2 linked regions of the Solanum lycopersicum genome follow. The protein of the gene in region 1 binds, or shares a complex with, the protein of each later gene. Links are inferred from orthologs where the notes say so. Each region holds a gene or a part of one and is shown on either strand. Other genes may lie near its edges.

Region 1 (2,737 bases):
TGTGAAATGGGTCATATTTCTAAACATGCAGTGTCAGAAGAAACACACCTATGTCTGCCCCGTTTTTGAAGCAACTGGCAACTGTCCCAAAGGTTCAAACTGCAAGCTTCACCATCCGAAGAACAGAAGGAAGGGAGCGAAAAGGAAAGCTTTGAGCGAGTTAAAGAATGGTCGAGGTCGTTACTTTGGCTCTCCGCACATTCATATTTCTGAGTGCATAACAGCTGGATCAGAGAAGCCTTCTGTCAAGGGGAATAATGACATATTCCTTGAAGGGAAGTTTGTCGATTTTATTAGCCTAGATGGTAGTGACGAAGAGGAACAGACTATTGATCAGAGAAGCGAGGAAAAGCCACTTTGCGAGAGTGGTCCAGCAGAGATGCAACTGGATGATCTCGATGAGCTTATTAAGCCCGTGCGTCTGATAAATAGGAATAGGTCTGTAGGTTCATCTCCCTATATAGATAGCCCAAGTGATATGACCACAAGCTATGTATCAGAGTAGCCTCACCATTGTAAATGAGGTTGTGTAATTAGGTTTATGTAGTGTTCTGCTAGTGCAGAGCAATTTTTTTTCTTTTTATTGTTAGGCTTTTAGTTAATTACTTAGGTATAGGTCTTAGGATTAGGCATATTTTTTGTTTCGCAAAATCTGTTGTGTGAGATAGAACAAGAAAACTGTTGTTATAGTGAGAGAATTAAAGGAAATGAAAATCTTATCCCCTATGTACAAGTCTTTATTGGAAGCTGTTTGACTTTTGTTCTTTAACAATTTTCAAGTCAATCTGAACTCTCTTATTGAGTCTTTATCACAGGTGATAATGAACCTGTAGATTCAATCAGCTGGTGTTATGTTTATTTTACTTTTGACAGGTAAGCATTCTTTTTTTGTAGTGATGAATACACGGATAAAAAAGATTGTTTTTAATAGATCCACCACCATACGAACTTCTGAACTTAAATTTTTTGGTTTTGTCTATATAAGTGAAACGCCCTGCATACTTATCTTTCATGGCTCGGATTCACTAATTAACCAAACCTTTAAACCTGGTTTAACAGGGATAAAAACGAAAGTAATTTAAGTACCTCAAAGTGAGTAATTTGTAATTAACCTTTTATTAAGCACAGCCACAGAACAAAAAAAATATAAGATAATAAAAAGAAGCCATATGTAAGCAAACATTTCCTATCCACACAAAAAGGAGGATATATTAATATCCCAATACCAACATTCAAGAAAAGGCCATAAAAATCACACATAACAAAACACTAGGAGAAAGGGGGAAACATGGCAGCAACTTCAACATACATGGCTTCAACCCATTTCAGCATGTTAAGTTGGAGCACAAAGGGAAAGAATAAACAACTCAAAAGGAGAAACTTCTTCTCAGTTTCAGCACAGCAAGCAGAAGTTGAAGAGTTAAAACTAAAAAAAGAGGAAGAAAAGAAAGAAGAAGAAAAACAAGAAGAGGGGGCAATGAAGAAGCCAAGGCCAGTAGAACCACAAATAAATGTGCAGAGCAAGAACATGACCAGAGAACATGGAGGACAATGGCTCAGTAGTGCTACTAGACATGTTCGAATATATGCAGCTTATATTGATCCCGAAACCTTTGCTTTCGATCAAACACAAATGGATAAACTCACACTCCTTCTTGACCCTACTGATGAATTTGTGTGGACTGATGATACTTGTACCAAAGTCTATTCTTACTTCCAAGAACTTGTTGATCATTATGAGGTAATGAAAACTTCTCTTCATCAATACAAGCTTAATCATGCAATCACTCTTGTACCAAATGGATTAGAAATAGAAATGCTAACTCCAATAACTTTTTATGATCTGGACCAGGGAGCTCCATTGACGGAGTACACGCTTCGCCTGATAGGTTCAGACATAGAGCACTACATAAGAAAACTTCTCTATAATGGAGAAATCCAATACAACATGAATGCAAGAGTTCTTAACTTCAGTATGGGGAAACCAAGAGTTGGGTTCAATTACAATGGACAAATGGAAGATGTAAACCAGTAAATTCAGGTAACAATGTTGACTATATTGAAACAATGAGTAGCAAAAAATGCAGTTGTAACAATGTATAAGAAACTTTCACCTTCTCTGTCTGTTTTGAGAACTTTTCCCAAATGGATTATACACAATACAAATGTTATCTACCTAATCATTGGTGGCAAAAGGGTATTTTATACTGTGGTTTTCATATTCCTAATCATCTAAGCATTGTATCAATACCCCCAATCAAAATTGCAATAGCTTCAAATTTGTTTGAGATTTCCTATATCTACACCACTCCATATATTTAAGCTTACCTCATCTATATTCAACCTACTTTATTATAAAATTATTCGTTTTTTTCCACAAAAATTTTAAAATAATATGTAAAACTTACTAGACTTTAAAACTAACACACTATATTATCTTACATACAAGATTATGTAAGAACAACTATTGATAATGTAAAAAAAAATGAAAATTATTACATCTTATAATTTAATCTTAATAACATAAGTATAAATTAATGATTGTAAAAATATATACTAGAATCTGTAACATAAACAATGGTGGCAGTGAGTCACTAACCGGAGCAATGTACACAAATATTTAATTGTGAAAAAGAAGAAGAAGAGAGACAGAATTTTCGTTCTTTTAAAAGGAGAGAAAATCCCTCTATTTATAGACAAACAAAGAGTAGCGTGAGAAATGTTTATTGTGCCTTAT
Region 2 (3,763 bases), on another chromosome or scaffold:
GTTCCTTCTTAATGTAACTTTAAACATCCTATGTACTTTGATTTATACAACTCTCATCGCAGTAGCGCAATCAGAATTTTTATTAAGGAAATTCAAAATATAAAGAATTGATAAAGGGATTTGACATATACTAATAAGAAATATATAACTTTGACCTTATATATACAGTGTAATTCTTCAGCTAGGGAGTTCATTAGAGTTTTTTTTTCATCTCAATGTAGTTAAGAAACATATAGTACAACCATGGAACAACACCAGATCATATGCATCTTCGAGTAATCGATGAAATCCAATGATCATTACGCGATTCATTTAGATACCTTAATGATATATTCAGAACATATGAATTCGTTGTTCTTTTTTATTTCTATCGTTTCATGATATCGTCCTTCTTAACAGTAAAATCCCATAAATCACCATATTTTTCGTTGAATTCCCAAATGTCCATTGTGTTATAATCCGATATTAACTTATCTCGCGCACCTCTCTCCATGTTATATATTTGAGGCTCGAAATTGTGTGCTTCACTTGGTTTGTCCATCTCAATGATACAGAACACAATTGTAAACACAGCTGCTCCAATGTACAAATACTCCCCCTGCATTGTCAAAGAAGTGAAAATACAAGACTTTTAGTTGCTGGAAACGGGTGTTTTCGAGCCTCGAAAAATGTGTAATATAGTAGAGATTTAGTCATTAACTTACAGGAACATTGAAGTACATTCCTGCAACTATTGCTGGAGGAAACAGCCATGAAATGATACCTATTGTCGAACACCAGAAAAATAAGTTATTTTAAGTAAATAACTAAAGAAGCACTCAAGGGTGTGCCCTAGTGGTCAATGAACTGGTTAAGAGTCACGAGGTCTCATCACGTTCAATTCTCAGCGAGAGAAGAAAAATTCTAGGTGATCCTTTCATTTGTCTTATCCACTGTGGATGAATAGAGTTTTTTTTTTCCACCCGATGTCCGGAGCTTACATTGGAATTACGACTAAATTCGAATCGCACATTGCAGGTCCTATATTTGAGGGTGACGCTCCCAACATGATTTTCTCAATAGATCATATCCAATACTCAAACCCGAGACCTGTGGTTAAGAGTGAAACACTCCCACCAGTGAACCACAATCGGTGTTGGTAGATGGATAGAGTTAGCTGATACTTGTTGCTGATGGAAAGTATTTCGTGAAATTAGTCAAAGTGCGAAAAGTAAATGACTAAGTTAATGATCATATTATTATGGTAATTTGTTACATACCTTGAAATCCTGTTGGGGGTGCAATAGCAGCATAATCTTCTGCTATGGATCCCCAAAATGATACTGAAAATGCAAGTGATATAGAATTAAGTATAGTTTAAGTATAAATACATTTACCTATTTTTGTAAAAATAGCTACTCAAATATTGTGTTTTTCGAAGAATTTGAACACGTGGAGTTCACCAATTTCACGTTGGACAAATATGAAACGATTTATTAAACGAAAAGTCGAACGAAGACTAACTTGATCGAATTCATATAATAATACATTGGACAAATTTAGATATTTTTCAATTCAAATTACAAATTAAATCGAAAAAAACACACACATATTGTTATGTACCTTTTTTATCTTCACTTTCAAAGTACGTATGATGATCATCGTATTTTCCAAAAACATAATCTTCCTGCAACAAATTAAAATAAAATAAAATTAGTTAACATGCGTCTGCCTTAAAATAAATCCGTCAAAATTTCAATAAAAAAAAAATTATTACATAAATATATAAATATGCCCTTCAATTTTGTTTCAGTTACATCTATATCCTCTTATTTTCGATGTACACAAATAGAGACTTATATAAAATTGAAAAAATAGATACATTTGTCAGTTAAAAAAAGCCAAGTTAAAAGGACATTTTGTATTATATCAAAATTATTCGATATCTATGTTGATGAAAGATATTAAACTTACTCAAACACTACAATTATTTAAAAACAACGAAGAAAAGAAAAGAAACATTACAATGTCAATGCCATTAGTTCTCCATCGATCAACAGGATCTTCGTTGATATCTGGTTCTATCTCTGTTAGTCCTGCATACAATCTTGTTGATGATCTAAATCCACCACATTTTGTACCAATTTTCGAGGAAATCGAACATGGATTTCCTCGAAAAAGAACACTCCATTTTGTTGAGAATACTGAATTGGGAACTGGAATTGTGGAGAGTAGTGAAAGTGTTAAAGAATTCTCCATTGTTGTTGAGTAGTGTTGCTCTGTTCTTGCTTGTTTACTCTATGTTTTCTAACTTTATTATCCATATATTTTGAATGGTTAAGGCTATACGTGGATAAGGCTATTATATATTATGGTTTTATATTTTTTTTTTAATATCTATTTAGTCTCTTATTGTGTTACCACAATTTCCGACCCCTTTTAACTTGATTTCATCTGACATCTATGTCTTTCAACTTTGATTGTAGATAAATCAACACTTAAATTTATATAACATTGAACAAACATAAACAGACGTACTACGTGATATAATGCACGTAGGACATTATATAGGATGCAAATTGTCACGTACGATGTCACATAGGATGTGTCTACTTGTTTAATTATATACATATTTATATGTCTGCTTGTAATTGTACATATCCAGAATTGGAGAACGTAAATGTCTATTTAAATGAGATTATTCAAAATGCTTTAAACAAAATAAATTAGCCTCTCTTAGCCATAAACCAGATTTTTTTTTTGCTTACCATTATAAAAATTATTTTAAAACTATTTTAAAAAAATATTTTCACCAATATTTCAAAATTTTAAATTTTTTTCCAACTTATGACAAAAATAAGGGAGAAAAAAGGAGGAAAATATCGACGACATTCATACAGAAATAATTATTTCAATAGGAAACTATTTAATTATAAGTAAGTTTAGGTTTAGCAAACATAAAAAATCATATTTGTATACTATAACTATAGTTTGTATAATTGCGGCCCATACCAAATTTTATACTTGCTATGGTACATTAAATCATTGGCAGCCTCTCGTTTGTATAAATCGTTGACAACCTCTAAATTCAATTTTATGTGTTTGTATATCTGCATAAAATTTGAATTTGTATACAATGTATCGAAATAAAACATTTGTATATCAAATCGCTCTCTCTCTCGAGTTATATAACACAAAGTATACATTGTAATTTGTGTTTATATAAAGCGAGAAAGAGAGAATGACAAAAGAGAACTTGTAGAGGAAATCTGTATTTGTATAATTATAAGTGTATATGACGAAATTATATGTATGTGTACATATAATTTTCTCCCGCTTTATACAAATACAAACACAATTTATTCATTTGCCTTTTGTATAAAGTGAGTGAGACGAGGGAGAGTGACGAGCAAGACCTGGGAGAGTGGCAAGCGAAATTCGTCGGGGAGAGAGGTGAATGACAATTGTTTGCTACGAGTTACAATTAAATCAAAGTATGATTATAACATTAATTTGAATTAATAATTTGATATTTTATATAATTTTTCCTTTAATTATTAAGCAACTGTACGTATACTGTATCTTTCTTTTATGTATATCCAAAATTCAATACAAAAGAACGACAATAATATTTTCATCTATCTAATCCATCTACCATGATATTAATACAAATTAAACGAATATGACCATGTAAATTCATTTCAAGTTTGAATCAAAGATCATAGATATAATAAGACTGTGTAGCTATAGTTTCAATAATTGCGCTTCATAATTATAATTTCAT

The links. Proteins that work in one complex are often made in the same cells at the same time.
Region 2: ORR (region 1) and photosynthetic NDH subunit of subcomplex B 5, chloroplastic share a complex: the UniProt entries of both Arabidopsis thaliana proteins name them as parts of the chloroplast NDH complex. The link is inferred for Solanum lycopersicum from reciprocal best matches to the Arabidopsis thaliana genes NdhM and PnsB5.

What each region holds. Positions count from the first base shown.
Region 1 is NC_090803.1:56,432,354-56,435,090, reverse strand, and holds ORR (NAD(P)H-quinone oxidoreductase subunit M, chloroplastic), read left to right. Parts: upstream 1-1,178; 5' UTR 1,179-1,288; coding exon 1,289-1,741; intron 1,742-1,852; coding exon 1,853-2,035; 3' UTR 2,036-2,195; downstream 2,196-2,737. Other genes in the region: uncharacterized protein At1g21580, read left to right, coding at 32-505. UniProt on the Arabidopsis thaliana protein: NDH shuttles electrons from NAD(P)H:plastoquinone, via FMN and iron-sulfur (Fe-S) centers, to quinones in the photosynthetic chain and possibly in a chloroplast respiratory chain.
Region 2 is NC_090808.1:66,330,488-66,334,250, reverse strand, and holds photosynthetic NDH subunit of subcomplex B 5, chloroplastic, read right to left. Parts: upstream 2,332-3,763; 5' UTR 2,239-2,331; coding exon 2,005-2,238; intron 1,667-2,004; coding exon 1,603-1,666; intron 1,323-1,602; coding exon 1,260-1,322; intron 764-1,259; coding exon 705-763; intron 599-704; coding exon 368-598; 3' UTR 127-367; downstream 1-126. UniProt on the Arabidopsis thaliana protein: NDH shuttles electrons from NAD(P)H:plastoquinone, via FMN and iron-sulfur (Fe-S) centers, to quinones in the photosynthetic chain and possibly in a chloroplast respiratory chain.